Anolis sagrei: one gene and its partners. The protein of the gene in region 1 interacts with the protein of each later gene in a pairwise test. Links are inferred from orthologs where the notes say so. Each region holds a gene or a part of one and is shown in the gene's direction. Other genes may lie near its edges. The genes, in order: MLX, MXD1, MXD4 and MNT.

Region 1 (7,663 bases):
ACCAGTGTTCACATTTTCGCATATTGAGTGTTTGTGCCAAGTTTGGTCCAGATCAACCATTGCACGAGTCCACAGTGCTCTCTGGACATAGGTGAACTACAACTCCCAAACTCAAGGTCAATACCCACCAAACCTTTCCAGTGTTTTCCGTTGGTCATGGGAGTTCTGTGTGGCAAATTAGGTTCAAATCCATCGCTGGTGCAGTTCAGAATGCTCTTTGATTATAGGTGAACTATAAATCCCAGCAACTACAACTCCCAAATTACAAAACCAATCCTCCCCCAACCCCACTAGCATTTACATGTGGGTGCATTGGGTATTTGTGCCCAGTTTGGTCCAGTGAATGAAAATTCATCTTGCATATCGGATATTTACATTATGATTTATAACTGTAGGAAAATGACTGTTATGAAGTAGCAACAAAAACAATGTTATGGTTGGGGGTCGCCACAACAGGAGGGATTGTATTAAGGGGTCATGGCATTAGGAAGGTTGAGAACCACTGATCTACAGAGACACTCGCTGGAACACCTCAGCAAGCAAGAGTCCAAAAGTGGCAGGCTCAAACCCAGAACCTTAACCAATGGCTGATACCAAATGAAAGGCTCCCCCCTGGGTACACAGAAGACTGGGCAACTTGGAAGGCGCTGAACAGACTGTGCTCTGGCACCACGAGATGCAGAGCCAACCTTCAGAAATGGGGCTACAAAGTTGAATCCACGACATGCGAGTGTGGAGAAGAGCAAACCACTGACCACCTGCTGCAATGCAACCTGAGCCCTGCCACATGCACAATGGAGGACCTTCTTGCAGCAACAGCAGAAGCACTCCAAGTGGCCAGATATTGGTCAAAGGACATTTAATCAACTACTAAACTTCACCTTTCAAACTGCTAATTATCTAAAAATGCAAATACCAAAACATCTCAGGGAGGTATTCACGCGAGCCAGATTTGATCAGCTCGAGACAATGGTTAGATACGGGAGATTTAACAGCATCCCTTATAATGAACGGAGTTGTATCTGCGGGGCACCCGAAACTGAGGATATAGCACACACATTGTTTGATTGCAAATTGTATCAAAAGGTGAGAGACTTCCACCTTGGTCCATATATCAAACGGACAATGTATTGGGATTCTCACATCAGAACAACATATTTTATGTGTGGCCAAGACCCAAAAATAACGTATAAAACAGCTCTGTACTTAAGCAAAACAATACGTCTGAGAACCACATATGTAGGGCTGATTGGGGTAAATTGTAGGGGTGATAATGAAATATGATGTATACACTCAGCTTGATCAGTTTATCAGTTTTATCATGTCTTATCATATGTATTTACTGTATTATTATAAGTGTCTTATTTTAACTTTCTACGTGGAGTGTGATCAGGTCTTGTCAGGCCTTGTTGTTCTGTTTCTTATTGTGATATGGCCTAAGGGCTAATCAATAAAAATTACTACTACTAAACTACTAAGCTTGCAAATTTTGTGTTTTGACTGTTTGTTTTGCTCTGTTAGAAATATAATACAATTGACTGGTTGCCCTGACACGACAAATAAATACATGGGCAAACTTAGGCCCTCCGGGTGTTTTGGACTTCAACTCCCACAACGGCTGTTAGGAAGTGTGGGAGTTGAAATCCAAAACACCTAGAGAGCCGAAGTTTGCCCATGCCTGGTATAAGAACAAGGATGCCTTCCAGAGATTCTCAGGACTTTGGACTTCAACTCCCAGAAGCCTCAGCTGCCTTGGTCAACGAGGAGGGATTCTGGGAACTGAAGTCCAAACAACTTGGATGGGCAGAAGTTGAGGAATTCTGGTACAGAAGCTCTGCTGCTCGATGAGGGACACAAGGAGGTGGCAGGGAAGGCTCCCCAGCTCCGGGAGGTGCGCAAAATGGGGGCCCGTCCCTCCCCGCCACCCAGGCACCCACCTAGGTCCTTGTCGTTGATGCCCAGGTGGTTGTCGAGCTCCGTACAGACTTTGGAGACGAGCGAGAGGTACTCGAGTTTGGCAAGCTCCTCTACAGGGTCCGCCATGGCAACACGCCGCCGCCCCCACCGCTAACCAGACGCGCTTCCGGTTCTCCCCTCCGTGCGTCCCTTAGCGTAAGAGCGTCGCACGCATTACGCCTTACTTCCGGTGTATTCCCCTAAACTTATAAAAGGTTAGAATGCCGCTCTCGGCAGACTTCCGGTGTCATAAGCAGGCAGCCTCAAACTTCTGTCCTCTCGTTGATTGGACCTCTAACTCTCAGAATTCCTGACCATAGAACAAAATGGTTTTGGAATTGGAGGCCCGCAGTTTGACAATGCCTACAATTAAACCTCTCTCCAGATTAGAAGTGAGAGGTGCCAAAAGAGATTTCCCATAAAAAAAAACTCTAAAATTAAAAACAGCAAAACAACAGAGAGGAAACAATCAGGCACATCGAATCACCTCTCAACAAAAGATTGCCCCAGGCACTGCCAGGTCATCAAATGCTAATCAAGGTGGTCAGCTGAAACATTCACACCTAGCTCCAGCAGACAAGAGTCCTTTGTCCCACCCTGGTATTTTTTTTATTTTTTATTTTATTATGTATGTGTCATCCACAACCAGAACACTGTATTACATTTCTAACAGAACAAAACAAAAAAACAGATAAAAAAAACACACAAATTTTGCAAACTTGGTAGCTGATTAAATGTCCTTTGACCAGTATCTGGCCACTTGGAGTGCCTCTGGTGTTGCCGCAAGAAGGTCCTCCATCGTGCATGTGGCAGGGCTCAGGTTGCATTGCAGCAGGTGGTCAGTGGTTTGCTCTTCTCCACACTCGCATGTCGTGGATTCAACTTTGTAGCCCCATTTCTTAAGATTGGCTCTGCATTTCGTGGTGCCAGAGCGCAGTCTGTTCAGCGCCTTCCAAGTCGCCCAGTCTTCTGTGTGCCCAGGGGGGAGTCTCTCATCTGGTATCACCCACAGATTGAGGTGCTGGGTTTGAGCCTGCCACTTTTGAAATCTCGCTTGCTGAGGTGTTCCAGCGAGCGTCTCTGTAGATCTTAGAAAACTATGTCTAGATTTAAGTCGTTGACGTGCTGGCTGATACCCAAACAGGGGATGAGCTGGAGATGTCTCTGCCTTGGTCCTTTCACTATTGGCTGCTTCTTCCCAGCGGATGTCTGGTGGTGTGATACCGGCTAGACAGTGTAATTTCTCCAGTGGTGTAGGGCGCAGACACCCCGTGATAATGCGGCATGTCTCATTAAGAGCCACATCCACTGTTTTAGTGTGGTGTAATGAGTTCCACACTGGGCATGCATACTCAGCAGCAGAGTAGCATAGCACAAGGGCAGAGGTCTTCACTGTATCTGGTTGTGATCCCCAGGTTGTGCCAGTCAGCTTTCGTATGATATTGTTTCTAGCACCCACTTTTTACTTGATATTCAGGCAGTGCTTCTTGTAGGTCAGGGCACGGTCCAGAGTGACTCCCAGGTATTTGGGTGTGCTGCAATGCTCCAGTGGGATTCCTTCCTGGGCAATCCTCAGAGTTTGGGGTGCTTGTCTGTTCTTAAGGTGAAAGGCACATGTCTGTGTTTTGGATGGGTTGGGGATCAGCTGGTTTTCCCTGTAATAGGCAGTAAGAGCACCTAGAGCTTCAGAGAGCTTCTGTTCAACCATCTCAAAGCTCCCTGCTTGGGTGGTGATGGGCAGGATATAAATATATGACTTTGAGATCTTCCGGGGAGACCCTGCTCTCGATCCCGCCTGTTTCTCAAGCTCAGCTGGCGGGTACGAGAGATAGGGCCTTCTCGGTGGTGGCTCCTCGGCTGTGGAACGCCCTTCCTACGGACATTAGACTAGCACCATCTCTAATGGTATTCCACAAAAAAGGTGAAGACCTGGCTGTTTGAGCAGGTGTTCGAATAATTAGTGGAATGATTGGTTAATGAACACTGGAATGGAACAATGGATGACGAATCTGGAACATGTTTTTGATGACGAGACGATAGTGAATGGGTATTGTAGTAACTGTTTATTAATTGTGTAATGTGTTAGGTTGTTAACTGTTTCTATACTGTAACACTGAATTTTTGCTGTTCATATTTGTTGTGAACTGCTGTGAGTCGCCTTCGGGCTGAGAACAGCGGTATATAAGTAAGGTAAATAAATAAATAAATAAATAATAATATGAAATGAATTTTGTGCTTACTCTTTGTGTGGTTTCCTAATAAATAAAATTGGTGGTTTACTAAAGATATTATTAAACAAATGCTGAGGGATCTTGTAGTAAAGGGGACAAAGGCTGGATCTTCACTGGCCTATAATCCAGATTCAGAATGTGGATTAACTAAATTGAATCGGATTATAGTAATCTATACTGGCCTACAATCCAGATCAATGCAGTTTATCCACATTCTGAAGATGGATTACAGGGCAGCTTAGATTCAGCCGTAGTGACTGCAATTTCTGTCCCTCTCCATTAATTTTTCAGGATAACTCTCACTTCCGGTCTGGGGATGGTGTATTGCAATAGTAAACAGGAAATGACGTTGAAGACAAGCAGGTGGCTGCAGGATTTGTCCGGCAGAAGAGGAAAAACTACCTTTCCCAAAAACCTCTGCAGTTCGACGCGACTCTTCCGGGAGGACCCTCCCCCCAGCCCTGATTGGCCAGTGCCAGGAGGACACGTGACATTGTGGCCTAGCTGTGGGAAGATGGCGGAACCGTCCAGCGTCTCTTCGGAAAATGCTTGGGTAGGAAAAGTGAGTGGAGCTGGGAGGGGCTGGGCCTGGGTCTCGAAGTGCATCGCAGGCCTGTGGAGGTCAGGGACTTCCTTGTCCTTTCGGGCGAAGAAATGTAAAGTAGCCTCTGAGCATACGAAGAATGTCTCTTCAAACCTCAGCTTTGGCACCATTCCGTCTGCTAAACTAACCTTAGGCCAGTGCGTGAGAGAGGGGCTTCCTCTTTGTGTTATGTTTAGATTTACAAAGGGTTTAATTAAATCTTAAGTATAAACAATTCACCTGTTTTGAGGAGATGTTTAAGCAGCAGCTGCTGCGCCTACATTTGGCTGGCAGCCATTTGTGTTGCCATTTTTAATAATAATAATAATAATAACTAGCTGTACCCGCCACGCATTGCTGTGGCCAACCTTCCCTCCCTCTTTCTCTCCTTTCCCTCCTTCCTTTGCTCCCTCTTTCCTTCCTCCCTTTTTCTCCCCCCCTCTTCCTCTCCTTTCTTCTCTACCTCTTTCCTTCCTTTGTTTTTTTGCTTCCATTCTTCCTTCTGTCTTTCCTTCCCTCCCTCTTTCCTTCCTTTCCTCCTTTTCCTTTCCCTCTCTCCTTCCCTACCTCTTTCTTTCCTTTCCCCCTCCCGTTTTCTTTTCCTCTCTCTTTCTCTCCTTCCTTCCTTCTCTACCTCTTTCCTTCTTTTGTTTTTTTGCTTCCATTCTTCCTTCTGTCTTTCCTCCCCTCCCTCTTTCCTTCTTTTCCTTTCCCTCTCTCCTTCCCTACCTCTTTCTTTCCTTTCCCCCTCCCGTTTTCTTTCCCTCCCTCTTTCTCTCCTTCCTTCCTTCTCTACCTCTTTTCTTCCTTCTTTCGCTCTTTGCTTCCATGCTTCCTTCTCTCTTTCATTCTTTCTTTCCCTCTCTCTTTCTCTACTTCCTTCACTCCCTCTTTCCTTCTCTCCTTTCTTCCTTCTCTACCTCTTTCTTTCCTTCCTTCACTCTTTGCTTCCATCTTTCCTTCTTTCCTTCGCTCCCTCTTTCCTTCCTCACCCCCCCGTTCTTTTCCTTCTCCTTTCTCTCCTTTCTTCCTTCTCTACCTCTTTCCTTCCTTCACTTTTTGCTTCCATCCTTCCTTCTCTACCTCTTTCTTTCCTTCCCACCTCTTTCTCTCCTTTTTCCCTCCTTCCTTCATTCCCTCTTCCCTTTTCCTTTTTTTCTTCTCTCCTTCTTCCTTCTCTACCTCTTTCTTTCCTTCCCCCCTCCAGATTTCTTTTCCTCCCTCTTTCTTTCTATCCTTCCTTCCTTCTTTCTCCCCTTCCTTCCCCCCCTCTTCCTTTTTTCTGTATTGTCATTTAGCTTTTGGGTTTTTTTTTAAGTCCTTTCCAGTTTTTTTGGGGGGGGGGCATGGTGATTTATGAGTGATCACTTGTTGGTCTGTTAGGGGTATAGTGTCTAAATTTCATGTTAATTCATCCAGTAGTTTTTGAATTCTGTTAATCCCACAAACGAACATTACATTTTTATTTATATAGATAATAATAACTTTATTTTTATACCCCGCCAACCATCTCCCCAGGGAGACTCGGGGCGGCTTACAAAGGACAAGCCCCAAAATTACAAATAAAACACACATTTAAAAACATCAGGTAAAATATAAAAACAAACACAATTGTAAGCAATATCAAACAATATGGCTGAGAAAAAATATAGCTGAGGTTTAGGTGCCTTGCATGCAATACATCCTGAAGAGGAGCGCAAGGAAAGTGCAACAATCAAGTAGATAGGACTAGGAATAGTGTCATCAAAGTGTTGAGGTGGATGATAAGAGGGCCAAACATAAAGTGCAGGAAAAAGTTACAGGTTGACTGTTTAATTGAAAGCTTACCGGAATATCAAGTTTTTTAGTTGACACCAGAAAGAGGACAAAGTAGGAGCCTGTCTGATTTCCCTAGGCAGGGAATTCCGGGGGGGGGGGGGGGGGGGGACCGGTTCTTTTTCTATTTTTATATATTTAGTATTTTTTGTATTTCCATATGGATCTCTGTCCTAAACTTTTTTGCTTTTGAAGAGGTCCACCAAATGTGGAAAAATGTTCCAGTTTGTTGCCCACATTTCCAACATTTGTCTGAAGTGTTTTTATAACATTTTGACATTTTGTAAGGGGTTAAGTACCACCTATAGCAGTTGTTATGTTGGCAATTTCTTCCTGGATGTTGGTCTTCAAATCTTGTAGGGTCCTTGGACGGTTCACATAAACACCGGATTTCAAAAACTCCCCAAGGAAAAAAATCACAAGGGGCCAAATCTGGAGAGCGGGCTGACAACTCCAAATCCGCTCGAAAAGTAGGCCTCAATGGCAAAAGCACGCTCCTCACTGTTCCAACGCATGATGTGCGACTGAACTGTGTCAGGACAAAACTTTATACTCCCGCCTCTCAAACGAGACCACTAGCACTCCTCTACGTCTTCAACCGACTGAATGGCGCGCATTTTAAAAAAGGAAGTTATGCTGCCTCACCCTGGAAGAAATGAATAAAGATTCTATGAATGGGGGCTCTGAGGTTAAACCCCAATTTGGACCACATAGGGATATTTGAAGAAGAAGAAAATTGATATTTTGGCTCACACTTTTCCATTGTGTTGTTATCTTTTACAAGGGTTGAGGTTAGTTTTCTACTTATATATATCATAACAGGAAGGCTGGGTGTGGTCCCCCTGAACAGCAGTCTTCTAATGCAGAAATACCAGAACTTAACACAAGCATTTGTTTTAGGAAGGATATACTGCAACATTTCTTTGTACAGTAGAGTCTCACTTATCCAACATAACCAGGCCGGCAGAACATTGGATAAGCGAAAATGTTGGACAATAAGTAGGGATTAAGGAAAAGCCTATTAAAACCTCAAATTATGTTATGATTTTACAAATTAAGCAACAAAACATTATGTTTT
Region 2 (7,408 bases), on another chromosome or scaffold:
AACCGTCCAAGGACCCTACAAGATTTGAAGACCAACATCCAGGAAGAAATTGCCAACATAACGCCTGCTATGCTGGCAAGAGTCATAACAAACGGCAGAAATCAGTTTACTCAGTGTATGGAGAATGGGAGACGTCACCTACCTAATTTGATCTTCAAAACTACATAAAACAACACTTTTATAATGCGCCTACATTAAAAAAAATTTAAAATTCTGATTCATACAATGGGTTTTATTAAGTTTTGAAAAAAGGAAGTTATGCTGCCTCACCCTGTATAAAATAATAATTGTTCGTTCGTTCGTTTCCGACTCTTCATGACTTCGTGGACCATAAGAATAATATAATAACGCTAACTCAGGGATGGCCTGTGTGCATGTATTAATACTAATGATATAATAAAATACAAATACTAATTATAATATAAGATTCCCCTCTCTTCCTGTTGTCTCAACCCTGTTCTTCACTGGTGAGTCCTTTGCAAGTTGGATATTTTACCTTGGGATGGCCTGCATTGTGTCCTTCCGCCTCTAATTTGAGGGAGGCGTGATCCAGATTAAACTCGCCAGCTTGGTTTCCTGTGACCTAGAATAGCAATGGGAGATATGCCTCCCACTCACCAGGAGATGGAGGGAGAAAGAGTGAGAGAGTCCTGAAACCAATCCGGAGCCAAGCTGGTGGAGCCTCCAAAGAGCACAAAACCCTGTAGAAGGGGTTTCAGGGTGTTCCTGTTTCCTGGCGTTTGCTTATTGAGAAGCGGTTTGAAAACTTATTAAAAGAAAGGTGGGCCCAAACTCGCCAAGGGCTTTCTGGATGCCATCACTGCTTTATTTATGTTTTGATGTATAATGCCACAAAATTCTCAAGTTGTGAGAGACCCGGCCACCTCCCACTCGAGGCCAGCCCCCTTATGAGGTGGTTCCTTTGTAATGGCCAGTATGGCCTAATACAGGAGAGGCCAAGCAGAAAGGGGGCGCACGATCCCAAGGGAGTGCCCGCCTGCCAGCCTGTGTTCCTTCACTGCAGCCAATCTTTGTGGGCTGCTTAATGTTGGCCCAGTTCACCTGTCCGAACGTATTCTCTCCTATGAACCATCAAGATTGTTAAGATCTTCTGGTGAGGCCCTGCTCTCGGTCCCGACATCTTCGCAGGCGCATCTGGTGGGGACGAGAGACAGGGCCTTTTCTGTGGTGGCCCCTCGGCTATGGAATTCCCTCCCAAATGAAATTAGATCTGCCCCCTCCCTCCTAACCTTTAGGAAGATAGTGAAAACCTGGCTGTGCAACAAAGCTTTTGCGGAATGATGTCTGAAACCGGCAATCGACTAACGGTACTGATCACAATATATGGACTGGACATACGGACTGAGTTGGACACGATTTTATCCTGGCAAACGGATTTTATGTAATTTTATGTAATGTAATTGGTAACTTAATGTTGTGTATTATGTTTTAGATTTTCAGTGTTAACATTGAATCTTTGCTGTTAGCCGGCCTGAGTCACTCTGCAGAGGTAGAGAAGATCGGGGTATTAAAGTTTTAAATAAATAATGTATATATATAAAATTGCTCTGTGCATAATGAGTACCTTAAAAACAAAAGAACCAATGAATGAAATCACACCAAATTTGGCAACAAAACGTCTCACAACACAAGGAGTGACCATCACTCAAAAAATTATGATTTTGTCATTTGGGAGTTGTTGTTGCTGGGATTTATAGTTCACCTACAATCAAAGAGCATTTTGAACTCCATCAACAATGGAATTGAACCAAACTTGACACACAGAACTCCCATGACCAACAGAAAATACTGGAAGGGTTTGGTGGGCATTAATCTTGAGTTTGGGAGTTGTAGTTCACCTACATCCAGAGAGCACTGTGAACTCAAACAATGATGGATCTGGACCAAACTTGACACAAGCACTCAATACGCCCAAATATGAACACAGATGGAGTTTGGAGGAAATAGACCTTGACATTTGGGAGTTGTAGTCACTAGGATTAACAGTTCACATACAATCAAAGAGCATTCATCTCCTTCTATGAACCGGCATGAACTCTTAAGATCTTCCGGGGAGACGCTCCTCTCGGTCCCACTACTGTCTGAAGCGCGGTTGGTGGGGAAGAGAGAGAGGGCCTTCTCAGTGGTGCCACCCCATCTCTGGAACTCCCTTCCAAGGGAAATAAGACAGGCCCCAAAAGTTCTGATGTGAGAGGTGGCATGTAAAGGATTATAGGGTAAGTGCAGTGTGCAGCAATCTCAATTCTAATAAAGTGCTTCTGGACTTGTTATTGGAGTTTTTCTATTCTGGAAAGGCACATCGGAACAGCCAGGTCTTCAAGTTCTTTCTAAAGACTGCCAATGTAGGGGCCTGTCTAAGATCTTTTGGGGTGGTGTTCCAGAGTCGGGGGGCCACCACAGGAAAGGCCCTGTCTCGCGTGCCCACCAATCACGAGCAGGGCCTCTCTGGATGAACGAAGTGAACGCGTGGGTTCATAAACGGAGATGTGGTCACACAGGTAGGATGGTCCCAAACTGTTCAGGGCTTTGTAGGTAAGCACTTGCACCTTAAATTGGGCTCGGAAAATAAACGGCAGCCAGTGGAGCTCCTTAAACAGGAGGGTTGACCTCTCTCTTAATGCAGCTGACACTCAGCCAGCTGCGCCACAATCCCAGTGCGCATTTTGTTTTTTTAATCTTATAGTTTTATGCATATTTTGTTTTTTTAATCTTATAGTTATGTTGTTTTTACTTTATTTGTTCTGCGATTTTTATCTGGGAACCACTCGGGGAGATAGAGCGGTATATAAATAAAGTTTTATTATTATTATTCTGAACCCCACGAACGACAGAATCGGGGCAAACTTCCCATACAGAACCTCCATGACCAACAGAAAATACTGAAGGCCATTCAATCCAACTCCCTTCATCAGGGCAAGAAAATGTAATCAAAGCCCTCCTGCCATAGATATAGATAGATATGATTCACACACAGAGAGAGATAGTATCCTAGATTTGAAAGGGATTCCTAAAGAAGGACAATGATACGTTGCATGTTCCATAGTAGGCAAACCAGACAGTCTCCACATCAACACTGACAAACAGCAAGAAATACTGTTTACCCACAAGCATAGAGACATTACATATATTAGAAACCAACACTTTCTCATTACTATATTTTCCAGATCAACAGACTGGGCCACAGCAACGCGTGGCAGGGGACGGCTAGTAAATAATAATTATTATTATTATTATTGTCGAAGGCTTTCATGGCCGGAATCCATGGGTTGTTGTAGGTTTTTCTGGGCTATATGGCCATGTTCTGGAGGCAATTTTTCTCCTGACGTTTCGCCTGCATCTATGGCAAGCATCCTCAGAGGTAATGAGGTCTGTTGGAACTAGGAAAAATGGGTTTATATATCTGTGGAATGACCAGGGTGAGACAAAGGACTTGTTTGCTGGGGCTAGCTGTGAATGTTTCAACTGATCACCTTGATTTGTATTCAATGGCTTGGAAGCGCCTGGGGGGAATCTTTTGTTGAGAGTGATTTCATGTGCCTGTTTGTTTCCCCTCTGTTGTTTTGCTGCTGTAATTTTTGAGTTTTTTAATACTGGATACATTCACAGCTAGCCCCAGCAAACAAAAGTCCTTTGTCTCACCCTAGTCATTCCACAGATATATAAACCCATTTTTCCTAGTTCCAACAGACCTCACTACCTCTGAGGATGCTTGCCATAGATGCAGGCGAAACGTCAAGAGAAAATGCCTCTAGAACATGGCCATATAGCCTGGAAAAACCTACAACAACCCAATAATAATAATGTCAGGCAGGCCTTGTCTGTTGCCTTTTTGCAATAGAGTCCCCGAATCCCCTGGCAGTTCCCTTCTTTGCTTCCTTGGCCCAGGCCCAGTTCCATTTCAGATCCGCTCCGGCAGCCGAGCGCTGATTGGTCCGCCAAACTGGCAGGAACACGTGGACAGCGGGCGAGGCGGAAGGCAGAACAGCAGGAACAAGCAGTGGGCGTGGCCTGAATCAGGAAAAAACCCTGACAAGAAAAAAAAGCTTCGGTCGAGCCAATCAGCGCTTGCCTTTGAAAACTCCCGACCAATGGGAGTCCGGGATTAATAGGAAGGCGGAGTGTGCGTGCGTCCACAAGCACTTGGGGGAGTGGGCGGGGCTAGAAAAGCCTTTTAACACCAAGAAACAAACAACATGGGCCCGACGGAGGAAGGCGGCCAATGGGAGCCGAGTTCCGCGAACAGGGGAGGGGCGGAGCGACTCGTGGCAGCGCGTTTCCTCCAATCAGCGAAAACATGACAGGCTCCACGCAACCAAGCCTGCCCCCCGCCGCAGCCAAAGCCGCAGGCCCCGCCCCCTTGGGGGCGGGGCCTGCGGCTTTGGCTGCGGCCGGGGGCAGGCTTGGTTGCGTGGAGCCTGTCAGGCTGAAGGGAGGTAAACACTCTCTCCGAGGAAGGAAGGAAGGAAGATGGCGACCGCCGCCCAGGTGCGCGAGAACATCCGGATGCTGCTGGAGGCGGCGGAGTTCCTGGAGAGGAGGGAGAGGGGTAGGTAGGCCTGTTGTTGTTGTGCTTGGCCCGGGCCCGCTTCGGCCCTCACTCCTGGCGTTTGGGACTACAACTCCCACAATTCCTCACAGCCTACCGGGCCAGACCTGCTCCCCACGAAATCAGCCTCACAATAGGGTAGAAAGGGACCCCCAGGGGCCACCAAGAGCCGCCCAGGCCAACGCCAGGCAGGAAAGTAGAATTACTAGAGTATTATTATTATTCCTTGAAGGAGCTGGGGGTGGTGACGACTGACAGGGAGCTCTGGCGTGGGCTGGTTCATAAAGTCAGGAAGAGTCGGAAACGGCTGAACGAATGAACAACATTATTATTAGTATTCCTCGAAGGAGCTGGGGGTGGTGACGACTGACAGGGAGCTCTGGCATGGGCTGGTTCATGAAGTCAGGAAGAGTCGGAAATGACTGAACGAATGAACAACAACAGCATTATTATTATTATTATTATTATTGGGTTGTTGTACAATACATTATTCGACAATACATTATTATTGTTATTATTCCTTGAAGGAGCTGGGGGTGGTGACGACTGATAGGGAGCTCTGGCATGGGCTGGTTCATGGAGTCAGGAAGAGTCGGAAACGACTGAACGACTGAACAACAACATTATTATTGTTATTATTATTCCTTGAAGGAGCTGGGGGTGGTGACAACTGACAGGGAGCTCTGGCATGGGCTGGTTCATGAAGGTCACAAAGAGTCGGAAACGACTGAACAACATTATTGTTGTTGTTATTATTCCTTGAAGGAGCTGGGGGTGGTGACGACTGACAGGGAGCTCTGGCGTGGGCTGGTTCATGAGGTCACAACTGAACGAATGAACAACAACAACATTATTATTATTATTACTACTACTACTACTGTAGCATAATTATTATTCCCAGGCAGGAAAGGCAGCGCCCGATCCCTCCCGACAGATGGCCACCCAGCCATAGATGTGGTAGATCGAAAGTTATTTCACGTATATTAGAAATATCCTAATCCTAGAGTGGAAAGAGCCGCCCAGGCCAACACCCAGGCATCGTCATCATCGAATCCCAGAGTTGGAAGGGACCCCAAAGGCCACCCAGCCCAACCTCTTTTACTCTGTTGAGCCCTCCTGACAGATGGTCACCCTGCCTCTGCTACATCATCATCATTATTACAGTTGGAAGGGACCCCAAAGGCCACTCAGCCCAACCTCCTTTACTCATCATCATCATCATAATTTAATTACTTATTAATCGCCCTCCATCCAAGATGCTCTAGGCGATTTACAAGCTAAAATTGAAAAAGGATAAAAATACTCTACTGAGCCCTCCTGACAGATGGTCACCCTGCCTCTGCTACATCATCACCATTATTACAGTTGGAAGGGATCAATTTAAACATACAATAATAAACATGAGATACAATAACAAGCTTAGAAGTAATTCAAATAGTTAATTAATGTGTGTGTGGGGGGGGGGGTGTTAATTCATCCCTGCCCCTTTCCCTCCCTCTGTGTTCTGTGGCCCGTGGGATTGAGCCCTTTGCAACTCCTTCCCCTGAAATACAGGCCTCACTACGTGCCTTGCAGGAGGAGGATTCACACTCAGCTCTCCAGATCAGAAAGGACCTGGCACTTGCTTTGAGGCATTTGCTTTGACATTTGGAGGAGTTCCCTTCCTTGCCTTCCTTCTTTCCTCCCACAGATTGTTATGAGGGGTCTTTTGTATGTGTGTGTGTGTTGGGGGGGGGGGGGCTCTACCGCTCGCAGCCTCCCCCCTCCCCCTCCTCTTCCTCCCCCTCCTCCTCTGCCATTTGCAAATACAAAGCCATGTTGGCCTGCTGATGCAGTCTCAAAGAAACAAGGGCTCCAGGATGGAGCTTTGTGGTGCCTTTAAGCCCAGTGGGTTCATGTGGTTTCAGCACTGTGTTTTTCATGGATTCAGAGCTGCTTCATGGTGGTGCTGAAATAAACCCGTTTTGGGAGCGCACCAAAGATCTGGTTTCTCTCTTTCTCCTCCTCCTCTCCCTTTCTCAGTAGGTTTCCTTTCTTTGTGGTGGTGGTGGTGGAGGAGGAGGAGGAAAGAAAGACCTGTTTTCTTGACGTGATTTTCCCTCCCTCCTTCTCGCCCAGTCGCCTTGGCCAGGGAGCGAAAGGTAGAGAAGATGCGCTGCTTGACTCCCTCCCCCCCCCCCCTTTCCTTATTGTTTGCTTGGGCCTTATTTATGGAGTCTTTGGGTTTTTGTCCCCCCCTGCCGCCCAAGACTCAAAACATTTCCAGTTGCCAGGCCCCATTAGGGCAGACCTATTAAATGAATATTATTATTATTATTATTATTATTATTATTATTATTATTTTACTGACACAAAAGCACAGTATGTCACAGCAAACGAGATCTATATGCTGGATTTCGTATCACAAAATCACAAGTTGAACATTTCCCAAGCGTCTAGGACTGTGTGTTGTATTTATTACTAGCCGTCCCCTGCCACGCATTGCTGTGGCCCACATGGGGATTCTGTGTGGGAGGTTTGGCCCAATTCTGTTGTTGGTGCGGTTCAGAATGCTCTGTGATTGTAGGTGAACTATAAATCCCAGCAACTACAATTCCCAAATGTCAAGATTCTGTTTTCCCCAAACCACCAGTGTTCACATTTTGGGCATATTGAGTATTCGTGTAGAGTTTGGTCCAAATCCATCATTGTTTGAGTCCATAGTGATCTCTGGATGTAGGTGAACTACAACTCCAAAACCAAAGGACACTGCCCACCAAACTCTTCCAGTATTTTCTGTTGGTCATGGGAGAACGATGTGCCAAGTTTGGTTCAATTCCATCGTTGGTGGGGTTCAGAATG
Region 3 (7,255 bases), on another chromosome or scaffold:
TGTCTTCTGGAGGATTAGCGATCCCTCCAGAAGCAAAACAGTCTGGAACTCCAATTTTCAAAACACCCCCAACAAGAAACAATTCAACAAACAGCAAATCTTCCACATTAGCAGAAAATGTTACTTTTTTTGAATAAACATGAGGACCCTTCCACACAGCTGTATAACATTTAACTAGATTATATTGCAGTGTGGACTCAGATAATCCAGTTCAAAGCAGATATTGTGGTTATCTGCCCTCTGAGTCACATAGCTGTGTGGAACGTCCGTACAATAATTTCGATCCAAAGGCTGCCTTCTGTTTACAAATATGATGCAAGTGGTTTTCACTTGATCTCCACATGACTATTTGTAGTGGTACACATAGCATCCTTGAAGTCTCTCTGAGTCCTCAAAATAAAGTTCTAGGCCCCTTTCTACACTGCCATATAAAATCCAGATTATCTGCTTTGAACTGGATTATACAGAAGTCTAGACTCATATAATCCGGTTCAAAGCAGTAACGTGGATTATAAACTCTGGCCCCTTCCACACAGCTGTATGAAATCCCATATTACCTGCTTTGAACTGGGATATATGGCAGTGTGGACTCTAACCCTTTCCCACAGCCCTATATCTCAGAATATCAAGACAGAAAATCCCACATTATCTGAGTGTGGACTCAGGTAACCCAGTTCAAAACAGATATTGTGGAATTTCCTGCCTTGATATTCTGGGATATAGGGCTGTGGGGAAGGGCCCTGGGTTATCTGAGTCCACACTGGGATTTTTTTACCTTGATTTTCTGGGATATAAGGCTGTGTGGAAGGGCTCTGGACTGCCCTATAATGCAGTTTCCGTATACAGTTGAACTGCATTGAACTGCATTATACAGGGTGAGGCAGCATAACTTCTTTTTAAAATGCGCGCCATTCAGTCAGTTGAAGACGTAGAGGAGCGCTAGTGGTCTCGTTTGAGAGGCGGGAGTATAAGTTTTGTCCTGACACATTTCAGTTGCCATCATGCGTTGGAACAGTGAGGAGCATGCTTTTGCCGTTGAGGCCTACTTTTCGAGCGGATTTGGAGTGGCTGGCCCGCTCTCCAGATTTGGCCCCTTGTGATTTTTTTCTATGGGTTTTTTTTTAATCCCGTGTTTCTGTGAACCGTCCAAGGACCCTACAAGATTTGAAGACCAACATCCAGGAAGAAATTGCCAACATAACACCTGCTTTACTGGCAAGAGTCAGGACAAATGCCAGAAATCGGTTTACTCAGTGTATGGAGAATGGGGGACGTCACCTACCTAATTTGATCTTCAAAACTACGTAAAACAAAACTTTAGATATATGCCTACATTATAAAAAAAATATTTCTGATTCATACAATGGGTTCTATTAAGTTTTGAAAAAAGGAAGTTATTCTGCCTCACCCTGTATGAGTCTGGACTGCAATATCTGTTTTGAAATGAGTTATCTGAGTAAGCACTGCCATATATTCCAATTCAAATTAGATAATGTGGGATTTTATTTAGCTGAGTGGAAGGGGCCTCAGGTAAACCAGTTCAAAGCAGGTACCATGGGATGTTCTGCCTTGATATTCTGGTTTACATGGCTGTGTGGAAGGGCCCTTTGATAATCTGTATTATATGGCAGCGTGGAAAGGGCGACCTTCTGCTTAAACTTAACTGGGATGTTTTTGATGAGCAGGAATCCCACTGCACGAGTGACGAGGCTGCCCTCAGGAAGCCGGCTCGCCCTTCCCGGAAAACGATTCCCTGCCCTTTGGGTCCTGCGAAGGACAAAGAGCAGGCAGGCTGTTCTTACCACGGGACCCGCTCCTAAGCGAAGCGACAGGGCAGTCACCGCGAAGGCAGCCCGAAGGGAAACACAACGGCGGTGTCTGTTGCTACTAGTTGCTTAGCAACTGGGGGAAAGCAACGGGAATGTGACTTTGGGGGGCTTCTGAAATATCGCGTGGCTTCAGAAGACGCGCCTTTGCACAATGTTTACAGCGTCGAGGTCTCGATTGGCTGGTCTCCATGGTAACGGCGCACGACTGTCGCGTGGAACTGACTTGTTCGGCCAATGGGAAAAGAGATCCTTGCTTCCGGAAGCCTTTGTGCTGAAGGATGCCTGCCTTTCCCTCTTCCTTTCCTCCCTCATACTGATACTATTTTATATTTCTATAGGGCCCTAGAAAATGACATTTGTAACCCAGGAACAAGAAACGTGTTAAATGGGCCCCTTCTATACTGCTGTATTAAATCCAGATTATCTTTCAACTGGATTATATAGCGGTGTAGACTCATAATCCATTTCAAAGCAGATGTGAATTATCTGCCATAGTGTTATATATATAGACTAGCCATGCCCTGCCACACGTTGCTGTGGCCCAGTCTGTGTATATGTGTTTTGTGTGCGTATATAGAATCTTAGAATCATAGAGTTGGAAGAGACCTCATGGGCCATCCAGTCCAACCCCCTGCCAAGAAGCAGGAATGTCGCATTCAAATCACCCCTGACAGATGGCCATCCAGCCTCTGTTTAAAAGCTTCCAAAGAAGGAGCCTCCACCACACTCCAGGGCAGAGAGTTCCACTGCTGAACTGCTCTCACAGGAAGTTCTTCCTCATGTTCAGATGGAATCTCCTTTATTGTAGCTTGAAGCCAGAACAGAAAACAGAATGTTGGGAGACAGGAAAAGAGATTTAAAGATGGGCTCAAAGCCAACCTTAAAATCTCTGGCATAGACACGGAGAACTGGGAAGCCCTGGCCCTTGAGGGCTCCAGCTGGAGGTCAGCTGTGACCAGCAGTGCTGCAGAATTTGAAGAGGCACGAATGGAGAGTGAAAGAGAGAAATGTACCAGGAGGAAGGCGCGTCAAGCCAGCCCCAACCAAGACCGCCTTCCACCTGGAAACCAATGCCCTCACTGTGGGAGAAGATGCAGGTCAAGAATAGGGCTCCACAGCCACCTACGGATCCACAAGAATACTGATTATGAAAGGCTATCCTACTCGTCCAATGAGGGATCGCCTAAGTAAGTAAAGTGTAGGTAAAGGTAGTCCCCTGACATTAAGTCCAGTCATGTCTGACTCTGGGTGTGGTGCTCATCTCAATTTCTAAGCCGAAGAGCCAGCGTTGTCCATAGACACCTCCAAGGTCATGTGGCCGGCATGACTGCATGGAGCGCCGTTACCTTCCCGCCAGAGCAGTACCTATTGATCTACTCACATTTGCATGTTTTCAAACTGCTAGGTTGGCAGAAGCTAGGGCTGACAGCAGAAGCTTATGCCGTTCCCCAGAATCGAACCTGCGACCTTTCGATCAACAAGCTCAGCAGCTCAGTGCTTTAACCCACTGCGCCACCGGGGACTCCAAAGTAAAGTGTATCTAGGAATAATAAGAATTGGAACAGACCAAGCTGAAAACGCTGACAAGAGCCACTCTTTGGGCCCTTCCAGACAGGCTCTATATCCCAGGATCTGACTTTGTTTATCCCAGATTATTTGACAGTGCGGACTCATAAAGCAGAATACCTGGGATCGGAATCCTGTGATATAGGGCCTGTCTGGAAGAGCCCTGGGAGATTTTTATATATATCATATCCGTGGGCCTGTATTGGGCTGCATTGTAAAATAAATTAACTTGCCTTTACCACCTTAATAACACTGGGATACGGAAACATGCTACCACATCACCGTAATAGACGCTAGCAACGCAGTTCTTAGTTTACAAATAACTCTTCTATGTCCTGTTATGAAGCAAAGTGGCTTATTCTCAAGGAAGGCGAATCAGCCTTTCCTGCGAGCTCAAGATTGGCTTCGCCCCCGTCGCGAATCACGCGCTCCTCCCTCAGAGCATCCCTTTTATGCGAGCGAGCCTTATTTGCATAGACCCGGCGCGTCCAATCACGCGCCACTGCCTCCTTTGCATGGAGCCAGCCGGCCAGTCAGGGAAGTCGGGGCTGGGCCCTCACGTGCTGTTGCTAAGCCCTCGCTTCGAAGTTGTTGCCTTCGTGGCCAGCCAATCAGAGGGTGGGACTCCAGAACTGTCAACATTCTCTCAGCCTCAACACCCTGGGCTTGTACCTGATTGGTTCTGTCAGGCTCAGGAGCTCGCACGGCATGTTATTAACTGGCTGGGGCAGCTGCCCATCAACCTGACAGCCATGGCACCGAAGACTTGATTTGTTGAGAGAGACTTTGCAAGGCCCGTTGCTCTCGCGAACTCTTTAAGTTTTCCCCCTGCGGCTTGCCGTTCCTGAGGGAGAGCTCTCCGGCCCCTGGGAAGATGGAGTGGAATTCCTTGCTGATGCTGCTGGAAGCCGCGGAATACTTGGAAAGGAGGGAAAGAGGTGAATATCTGCCTGGCGTTGAAGGGTCTTCTGTGCCAGCCTTGCAGGCCCTCCCTCCCTCTCCACTCGTCCCTTCCCTCCTGTTTGGTGTTGTTTTGTGGGAATAATAGGGCGTTTATTGGGTGTTTGGCTCTTCCTTCCCTCACAGAAGCGGAGCACGGCTACGCCTCGGTCTTGCCTTTCGAAAGCGACCACCCCGCAAGGAAAACGAAGTTCGGAAAATCCCCCAACAACCGGTAAGGCCCCGTTCCCTGTGTGTGTGGGGAGGAGGGGGGAGGAGAAGGCGGGGGCTGGGCCTGAGGCCGGCCCCGCGGGCCCCTCGCCGCCATCTTGCCCCCCGCGAGCCAGTCTGGGGGCGGGACTTCCGGGGAGCGGTGCCACGCGCGCAGGAGCCGCTTCCTGCCCAGCCCTGCTTTCCCAACCCCGGCTGGTGTTTGTGCGGCCAACGCTGCCTCTTCAACTCTACATGAGGTTTCTTTAGCTCAGGCCTGGGCAAACCTCGGCCCTCTGGGTGTTTTGGACTTCAACTCCCACAATTCCTAACAGCCGGTAGGCTGTTAGGAATTGTGGGAGTTGAAGTCCAAAACACCCGGAGGGCCGAGGTTTGCCCAGGCCTGCTTTAGCTTAGTGTTGGAGCCACGAAAACATTTGGACCTTAACGCCACCTAGTGGCTGATTTAAACATTTACGCCCATCTGTTGCTCAATGTTTACAGTCTACTCTGCAGATGATGCTTCCCAGAAAACGAGAAAACCAGGCTTCCACATGCTGATATATTTTCAGTAAATATTTAATCTTTCTGTTAGGGAAAACTACAGTAATAGTATGATAGCTGGGTCTGGAAGTTCCAAGCATTACCCAGCTATCATACCACAGGGTGAGGCAGCATAACTTCCTTTTTTCAAAACTTAATAAAACCCATTGTATGAATCACAAATATATTATTGTTTTTTTAAAAATATGCGTGCATACCTAAAGTTTTGTTTTACGAAGTTTTGAAGATCAAATTAGGTAGGTGACGTCCCCCATTCTCCATACACTGAGTAAACCAATTTCTGGCGTTTGTCATGACACTTGCAGACGCTATGTTGGCAATTATACAGGGTGAGGCAGCATAACTTTCTTTTTTCAAAACTCAATAAAACCCATTGTATGAATCAGATTTTTTTTTTACAATGTAAACACACCTAAAGTTTTGTTTTACGTAGTTTTGAAGATCAAATTAGGTAGGTGACGTCCCCCATTCTCCATTCTCCATACACTGAGTAAACCGATTTCTGGCGTTTGTCATGACTCTTGCCAGCATAGCAGGCGTTATGTTGGCAATTTCTTCCTGGATGTTAGTCTTCAACTCTTGTAGGGTCCTTGGACGGTTCACATAAACAGGGGATTTAAAAAAAAAATCACAAGGGGCCAAATCTGGAGAGCGGGCCAGCCACTCCATATCCGCTCGAAAAGTAGGCCTCAATGGCAAAAGCACGCTCCTCACTGTTCCAACGCATGATGGTGACTGAACTGTGTCAAGACAAAACTTTATACTCCCGCCTCTCAAACAAGAATACTAAAAGTTGAGCATTCAGCTCATTAGCGAGCAGTGCATGAAGTGCAATGTGATGTGGCTGTAAAGAATTAAGAGCTTAGGCAGGCAAAGATGCAGAGTCCAATCTTTTAAAAAAAATCACAAAAGGTTTATTTACAATAATAAGAAATAACTGCATTTCTTAATAATCAAGAACTGGGTCTGATCTACTCCAACACCCATCTCGTCTAAGGTTTTAAAAGAGGGGGGAAACAGCAAGCACAACATCTCTCCTGACAGGCATGCACAGAGTGATCTCAAAGCACACAGCACATATTCCTATGTAAGAAAAATTAAAGTAAAAAAATTCCTGTAGAAAAGTATCCATTCTACACAACCAATCAGAATGAGAGCAAAAACAGAGGAGAGAAAAACAGATAAATTCCCAACTTCCATAAAGGAGACATGGGGGAAGGGAAACCCTCAGACTATTCTAATGCTAAGTAACATCTCTTCATTGAGGACTTGGGCAGTGTGGGGTTGATTTCCAACACTTTCTACCTGTTTTACATAATTATCTGCCCAGGGTCCCCTGCAGATGCCTCAGGTAGAATCCAGACTGACAAAGTTTTGGAACACAATACACCAGACATCATGATTGTGGAAAAGAAAGAAGTGTAGATGATGTTGCCATACCAGGTGACAGTCGCATTGAGGAAAAACAGCAGGAAAAACTCAGCCATTATCAGGACCTCAAAATCAATCTGCAACGGCTCTGGCATAAACCAGTACAGGAGGTCCCAATGGTCATTGGCACACTGGGTGCCATTCCAAAAGATCTCAGCCGGCATTTGGAAACAATAAACACTGACAAAATCACAATCTGTCAACTGCAAAAGGCCACCTTACTTGGATTTGTGCACATCATTCGAAAATACATCACACAGTCCTAGACGCTTGAGTTTGACTTGTGATTTTGTGATACGAAATCCAGCATATATATCTCGTTTGCTATGACATATTGTGTTTTTGTGTCAGTAAAATAATACTTTATTTGTACCCTGCTCTATCTCAGGGTGGTTTCCCACAAAAGTAACAAAACAGCAGACATTCGATGCCAAAATCAGACAATAATAAATCTAAACAGTGGACAAAACACAATCTCAAAATAAAGCTTACAAAACTATATTTAAAAATAATACATAATTGAACGTCACACACAATTTCCATAGGCTGAAGTAGGTGTCCAATATCTAGGCATGGATATATATAAAGGTGTGCTAGTCTTCCTCCTCTCAATATGCTAAGGTGCATAAATGAGTTTTTAAAACCTTTTTAAAGGAGAAGAGAGAAGAAAAAAAGCTTTCTAAGCTGATTTCTCAATGGAGGGGTCAGCATTGTGA
Region 4 (7,112 bases), on another chromosome or scaffold:
CTTCAACTGGTCCAGCGAGCGGCAGCCAGGCTGCTCACTGGGGCGACATACAGAGAGCATACCACCCCTCTGCTGTGTCAGCTCCACTGGCTGCCGGTTCAGTTCCGAGCCCAATTCAAGGTGCTGGTCTTGACCTACAAAACCCTGTACGGTTCCGGTCCAGCGTATCTGTCCGAACATATCTCCCTCTACATCCCACCACAGAATTTAAGATCATCTGAGGGGGCCCTGCTCTCGACTCCACCGCTTTCCCAAGCAAGGCTGGTGGGGACGAGGAGCAGGGCCTTCTTAGTGGTGGCCCCCCACCTGTGGAACTCACTCCCAGTGGATATCAGGGCATCGACATCACTCCTGTCCTTTAGGAGAAAGGCAAAGACGTGGTTGTGGGACCAGGCCTTCGGGCAATCTGCTAACTAGATAGGACAACCAGGCAATTAGGACCGGCAGGACTGATATATGTGGACTGATAAATGTGGAAGAAAACTCTGAACCATGAGATAGCGAACACTGACTGGCAAGAAGGAAGAAGCGGTTTGTATCGGTTTGTATGAAATTTTATTGGTTTTATTGGTTTTAACGGGTTTAGATGCAATGTATTGTTGTTGTTGTTGTTTGCTAATTTGTTATTTTGTTTTATTGCTTATTATTGATGTATGCTATGGGCATCGAATTGTGCCTTGGATGTGTAAGCCGCCCTGAGTCCCCTTCGGGGTGAGAAGGGCGGGGTAAAAGTAAACCAAATAAATAAATAAATCCAAGTCAGGTGGCCTTTTGCAGTTGACAGATCATGATTTTGTTGATGTTTATTGTTTCCAAATGCCGGCTGAGATCTTTTGGCACGGCACCCAGTGCGCCAATGACCACTGGGACCACCTGTACTGGTGTATGTCAGAGCCTTTGCAGTTCGATTTTGAGGTCTTGATAACGGCTGAGTTTCTCCTGTTGTTTTTCCTCAATGCGGCTATCACCCGGTATGGCAACATCAATAATCCAAACTTTTTTCTTTTCCACTATTGTGATGTCTGACGTGTTGCGTTCCAAAATTTTGTCAGTCTGGATTCAAAAGTCCCACAGTATTTTTGCATGTTCATTTTCCACGACCTTTGAAAGTTTATGATCCCACCAATTCTTGACTGCTGGCAGGTGGTCCTTGTGACATAAGTTCCAGTGAATCATCTGGACCACAGAGTTGTGCCTCTGCTTGCAGTCCATCTGTGCGATTTTCTTGCAGCAGCTGAGGAGATGGTCCATGGTTTCATCTGCTTCCTTGCACAGTCTGCATTTTTCGATCCTCAACTTAATGGCATTGGTTCTGATGGCTTGCTCCTCAGCTGCAAGAATCAGGCCTTCTGTCTCCTTCTTCAGGGTTCCATTTGTAAGCCATCACCAGGTCTTCTCCTTATTAACTTTTCCTTCAATTTTGTCAAGAAACTGCCCATGTAAGGCTTTGTTGTGCCAGCTGTCAGTTCTGGTTTGGAGTGCAGTTTTCTTGTACTGACTCTTTGTCTGCTGTGCTTTAAGAAGTTTCCGATTATTGACTTCAATTAAAGCAAGCTCTTGGTTTTCCTTGACATATTCTACCAGGGCATCGTGTTTTTCTTCTTCAACGGCTTGCTTTACTTGTAAAAGTCCTCTGCCCGCAGATAGAGCCAGTCAACATCACTGCGATGATATAGTGAATTATGAATGGTCATGAGTTTTCTTGTTTTTCTGTCCAAATTGTCCAGTTCTGCCTGCGTCCAGTTTATAATGCCAGCAGTATATCTTATGACAGTATGGCCCTTACTACTCTTGTAGCGAATATTATTACTATTATCGTCATTGTGCTTAGTACAATTACAATTGCAATTCTTATTGTAAATATTTTTCAATTATTGTTGCAATTATTATTGAAATGCTTATAGTAATTGTTGCAAGTGTTATTGTAATTATTACTGCAATTCTTATTATTGTAATTCTTACTGTAAATATTGCAATTCTTATTCTGGTAATTATTGCAATTCTTATTGTAATTATTATTGCAATTCTTATTATTGGAATTATTATTGCAATTCTTATTGGAATTCTTATTATTATTGCAATTCTTATTGGAATTATTACTGCAATTCTTATTGTAATTATTGTAATTATTACTATTGTGCTTATTTTATTAGTTATGTAGATTATTTTTGCAATTATAACGGCAAATGTGATTACTAGTTTTCTTTCCCAAATTCTCTCCAGCAATCCGGATTCGACTTGCCTTTTTTTCCTGCAAAGGCAATTGGGATCTGGACTGTTTTGCCTGTGATCTCATCTGACGCCACAGGAGGCAACCCACACTCAACAAAAACCGCCTTTCCTGTTTTGCTGCACACATTCCTTCCCCCCCCCCCCGTCCTTATCACGCATTCCGGATTCACGTGTTTACTCCTTCCCCCCTCCCTCCGGAAATAGGGCGCGGCTCCTTTAAGGAAGGGAAATAGGGCGCGGCCCCTTTAAGAGCGCCTGCTGCCTCCTGACTTCCCACCCGGCCATGACTAGACAGATTGTCCCAGATGGCTCCACCCTTGCCTCGCGCGAGGCGAGTGGGCGGGGCACGATTCAAGCCCCGCCTCCCACTCAGCACGCTCTGGGGAAGGAAGGCGGGGCTTGAAGGGCTTCATGCAAATGAGGTCTCAGTTCCTACAATAAGATAAGACCTGCGTCCTACTCAGCACGCTCTGGGGAAAGAGGGCGTGGCTTGAGGGGCTTCATGCAAATGAGGCAGCACTTCCTCAAATCAGTAGGGGGGAGAGGCGCGTGGGCGGAGCATAAGACAAGCCCTGCTTCCTACTCAGCACACACTGAAGGAAAGGGCGGGGCTTGAGGGTGCTTCATGCAAACGAGATAGCATTTCCTCAAATCAGTAGAGGGAAGAGGGAGCGGCGGGTGGGCGGGGCATAAGGCAAGCATGCTCTGAGGGAAAGAGGGCGGGGCTTGAGGGCACTTCATGCAAATGAGATAGCATTTCCTCAAATCAGTAGAGGGAAGAGGCGGGTGGGCGGAGCATAAGATAAACCCAGCGTCTGAGGAAAAGAGGGCGTGGCTTGAGGGGCTTCATGCAAATGAGACCGCTCTTCCTCAAATCAGCAGGGGGAATAGAGCGAGGTGGGCGGGGCATAAGACAAGCCCCGCCTCCCACTCGCCACGCTCTGGGGGGAATTTATTTATCGTGTCATCAGCAACCATTGTATTACAATTCTAACAGAGCAAAACAAACACAGAGATTAAAAAGAAAAGGAAAAAGAAGAAAGAAAGAAAAAAAAAAACCATACAGATTTTGCAAATTTGGTATTTGGTTAAATGTCCTTTGACCAGTATCTGGCCACTTGGAGTGCCTCTGGGGTTGCCGCAAGAAGGTCCTCCATCGGCAGGGCTTGAGGGTGCTAGCACTTCCTCCAATCAGCAGGGGGAGGGGCGCAAGGAGAGTGGGCGGAGCATAAGGTAAGCCCTGAGTCTGAGTGGAAAAGAGGGCGTGGCTTGAGGGAGCTTCATGCAGATGAGGCCGCACTTCCTCCAATCAGCAGGGGGAAGAACGCGAGGCGGTTGGGCGGGGCATTAGACAAGCACGCGCTGAGTGGAAAAGGGTGCAGCTTGAAAAGAGGGCGTAGCACTTCCTCCAATCAGCAGGGGAGGGGCCAAGGAGAGTGGGCGGAGCATAAGATAAGCCCTGCGTCTGATGAAAAGAGGGCGTGGCTTGAGGGGCTTCATGCAAATAAGGCTGCACTTCCGCCAATCAGGATTGGAAAGAGCACGAGGCGGTTGGGCGGAGCATAAGACAAGCACGCGCTGAGGAAAAAAGGGCGTGGCTTGAGGGGCTTCATGCAAATGAGGCCGCACTTCCTCCAATCAGCAGGGGGAAGAGCGCGAGGCGGTTGGGCGGAGCACAAGCCTGAGTGGAAAAGAGGGCGCTTCATGCAAATGAGAGAGCACTTCCTCCAATCAGCAGGGGGAAGAGCGCAAGGAGAGTGGACGGAGCATAAAATAAGCCCTGCGTCTGAGAGGAAAAGAAGAAAAAAAGGGCGTGGCTTGAGGGGGCTTCATGCAAATAAGCCCACACCTTCCTCCAATCAGCAGGGGGAGAGGCGCAAGGAGAGTGGGCAGAGCACATCAGCCCTGCGTCTGATGAAAAGAGGGCGTGGCTTGAGAGGCTTCATGCAAATGAGGCTGCACTTCCGCCAATCAGGATTGGAAAGAGCGCGAGGCGGTTGGGCGGAGCACAAGACAAGCACGCGCTGAGGAAAAGAGGGCGTGGCTTGAGAGGCTTCATGCAAATGAGGCCGCATTTCCGCCAATCAGGAGGGGGAAGAGCGCGAGGCGGTTGGGCGGAGCACAAGACAAGCACGCGCTGAGGAAAAGAGGGCGTGGCTTGAGGCGCTTCAAGCCAAGGAGGCCGCATTTCCTCACACCAGCAGGGGGAGGAGCTAAGCCTTGCCTCACACTCCTCACACTTGAGGAGGGAAAGCGGGCGGGGCTTGAGGGGCTTCATGCAAATAAGGCCAGAAGGACGAAGCGAAGGAGGAGGAGCCTAAGCAGCGAAGTAAGTAGAACAAAAGAAGGCAAGGGAAGGGAAGAGAACCAGGGCGCGACTTGAGGTGTCCTGTCCCTTTAAGAGAGGCGCCGGCGGGGGCCCGCGGCGGAGAGTGCCCATGTGGAGCTGCTCCATGCCTTGTTGTCCTGTCACGCCATTGGCCAGGGAGCGGGTGACGTCATTGAGCAGCACGCGGACGCAGTGCGGGGGGGAGGATCGGGGGCAAAACCCGGAGGTGGAACTCCCCGGAATGGGTGATTTAAACCAAAGCGACGGGAGGTGAGGAAACAGCGGCGCGAGGCGACACATTGAACCAATTGGATCAGCCTCATGTGTTGCCTGAGTGAGCGCTCAAAGCATCAACGGCTGGCGCGGCTCGAATTCCATTAAGAGAGGAGTCCAGTCCGGGTTTTGCTTCCCCCCGCGGGGATAGTAGCAGAGGGCCGTGTCTCTCCCTCTCTCTCTCTCTCTCTCTTGTTGTGTTTCTGTTACGCATCGCCATCTTGTTACAAAGCCTTCTTCTGGTCGGGTGGGAGGGGGCCGCGGAAACGGGGGCCGGAAGGGGCCAAAAAGGCTTGGCTTCAGCCCGGATTGGTGTGCTCTCTCCCCTCCAGAAGAACCACAACAGCAGCAGCAGCAGCAATAGGGACCCTCTTTGGCAGAACAAGCCAAGCCCTTCTTTGCACATTCGAGACAGAGAGATATACCTATCTATCTATATATTTATATATTTTTCCTTATATATATATATTTTGGGATCCTCAGACTGCCCCCACCCTCCTGCTCCTGCTCCTCCTTTTGGGACTCCCACCCCGAGAAATGAGCATTGAGACCTTGCTAGAAGCGGCCCGGTTCCTGGAATGGCAAGCGCAGCAACAACAGAAAGCACGTGGTAAGTGGAGTCACTCCGGAGTCAACCCGGATCAGATGCGGGGGGAGGGGTTGCACCTCTTTTTTCCCTTCTGCCTAAATGGGGAGCACTTCTCCACCTTCTCCCCCAATCTCATTATTATTATATTGTTCAAATTGGATTGGGAGAGAGAGAGAAAGAGCTTTGGGGGAGTCCCATGACGTCATCACTTGCAAATGCCATTCCCACCCTTGTCTGATGGTGATGAATGCCTAATTAATCACATTGCAAAACAGGGGCTGGATGGCCATCTGTCAGGGGTGATTTGAATGCAATATTCCTGCTTCTTGGCAGAATGGGGTTGGACTGGATGGCCCACCAGGTCTCTTCCAACTCTAAGATTCTATGATCTAATTAATAAGACTCATATGACTGTATTGTCAGTTTCTTTGGAATGCCTCCCCTCCCCTCTATCTTCATTTCAATTGGCTGTCAGCACAATAATAACCATAATAGGGATATTCATATTATATTATAATATTATTATTGTAAGTCTTGCCACTCTTTATTATTATACTATATTATTATGCAGTTTCTCATGTCACTCCTGACACACACAAAATATATTAATATCAGCATAACAATAACTATCATAGGCATTGAAGGGATATTCATAAATAATATATTATCTATTAATATCTATTTAATGTGACTAATATTAGCAGTTTCTTTGTCAGCACAGTAATAAACATAATAGGGATGTTAATATTATTATATTATATTATTATTGTTAGGATATTATTATTGTAAGTCTTGCTATTCTTTATTATTATATTATGATGCAGTTTTTCACGTCGCTCCACGTAACAATAACTATCATAGGCATTGAAGGGATATTCATAATAATATATTAATATCTATTTAATGTGACTAATATTAGCAGTTTCTTTGGAATGCCTCCCCTCCCCTCTATCTTCTATTCAGTTTGCTGTCAGCACAATAATAAGCATAATAGGGATATTTATATTATATTATTAGGATAATATTATGTTATATTATTATATTATTAATAAAGATTTATTATTATATTATTATTAGGATATTGTTATTTTATTATATTATTATTAATAAGGATTTATTATATTATTATTATTATGATATTGTTTTTATGTAATATATTATTATTAATAAGGATTTAATATTCTATTATTATACAGTTTCTCAAGTCACTCCTGACACACAAAAAATATATTAATATCAGCATTACAATAACCCTCATAGGCATTGAAGGGATATTCATAATAATATATTATCTATTAAAATCTATTTAATGTGACTAATATTAGCAGTTTCTTTGCAATGCCCCCCTCCCCGCTATCTTCATTTCAATTGGCTGTCAGCATAATATTAACCATCATAGGAAGTGAAGGGATATTGATAATAGATTATTATTATATTAATTATTATAGTGTTCATAATTGTATATTATATTAATATTGTTAATATACCGTAGTAATATATTAATATATCATATTAAAAAAAATTATTTACGGCATGGATATGCCTCCCTTCTCACCCCGAAGGGGACTCAAGAGTGGCCTACAAAATATATTTGCATACAATATATTATATTATTAGCATAGTACAATATCAGTATTGTATATTACTATATTACACAATCCATTATATTGTAATATTATTAGTAATATT

The links.
Region 2: the proteins of MLX (region 1) and MXD1 interact in a two-hybrid assay, tested with the Homo sapiens proteins (2 studies listed by BioGRID and IntAct). The link is inferred for Anolis sagrei from reciprocal best matches to the Homo sapiens genes MLX and MXD1.
Region 3: the proteins of MLX (region 1) and MXD4 interact in a two-hybrid assay, tested with the Homo sapiens proteins (2 studies listed by BioGRID). The link is inferred for Anolis sagrei from reciprocal best matches to the Homo sapiens genes MLX and MXD4.
Region 4: the proteins of MLX (region 1) and MNT interact in a two-hybrid assay, tested with the Homo sapiens proteins (2 studies listed by BioGRID and IntAct). The link is inferred for Anolis sagrei from reciprocal best matches to the Homo sapiens genes MLX and MNT.

Annotation. Positions count from the first base shown.
Region 1 is NC_090026.1:51,084,804-51,092,466, reverse strand, and holds the start of MLX (max-like protein X), read left to right. Parts: upstream 1-4,656; 5' UTR 4,657-4,701; coding exon 4,702-4,749; intron 4,750-7,663. Other genes in the region: ATP-dependent RNA helicase DHX8, read right to left, coding at 1,938-2,043. UniProt on the Homo sapiens protein: Transcription regulator. Forms a sequence-specific DNA-binding protein complex with MAD1, MAD4, MNT, WBSCR14 and MLXIP which recognizes the core sequence 5'-CACGTG-3'. The TCFL4-MAD1, TCFL4-MAD4, TCFL4-WBSCR14 complexes are transcriptional repressors.
Region 2 is NC_090027.1:24,782,020-24,789,427, reverse strand, and holds the start of MXD1 (max dimerization protein 1), read left to right. Parts: upstream 1-4,389; 5' UTR 4,390-4,488; coding exon 4,489-4,567; intron 4,568-7,408. UniProt on the Homo sapiens protein: Component of a transcriptional repressor complex together with MAX. In complex with MAX binds to the core DNA sequence 5'-CAC[GA]TG-3'. Antagonizes MYC transcriptional activity by competing with MYC for MAX binding.
Region 3 is NC_090023.1:142,409,348-142,416,602, forward strand, and holds the start of MXD4 (max dimerization protein 4), read left to right. Parts: upstream 1-4,248; 5' UTR 4,249-4,269; coding exon 4,270-4,333; intron 4,334-4,481; coding exon 4,482-4,569; intron 4,570-7,255. UniProt on the Homo sapiens protein: Transcriptional repressor. Binds with MAX to form a sequence-specific DNA-binding protein complex which recognizes the core sequence 5'-CAC[GA]TG-3'.
Region 4 is NC_090031.1:25,878,613-25,885,724, reverse strand, and holds the start of MNT (max-binding protein MNT), read left to right. Parts: upstream 1-4,096; 5' UTR 4,097-4,561; intron 4,562-4,572; exon of another isoform or gene 4,573-4,831; intron 4,832-5,317; 5' UTR 5,318-5,371; coding exon 5,372-5,444; intron 5,445-7,112. UniProt on the Homo sapiens protein: Binds DNA as a heterodimer with MAX and represses transcription. Binds to the canonical E box sequence 5'-CACGTG-3' and, with higher affinity, to 5'-CACGCG-3'.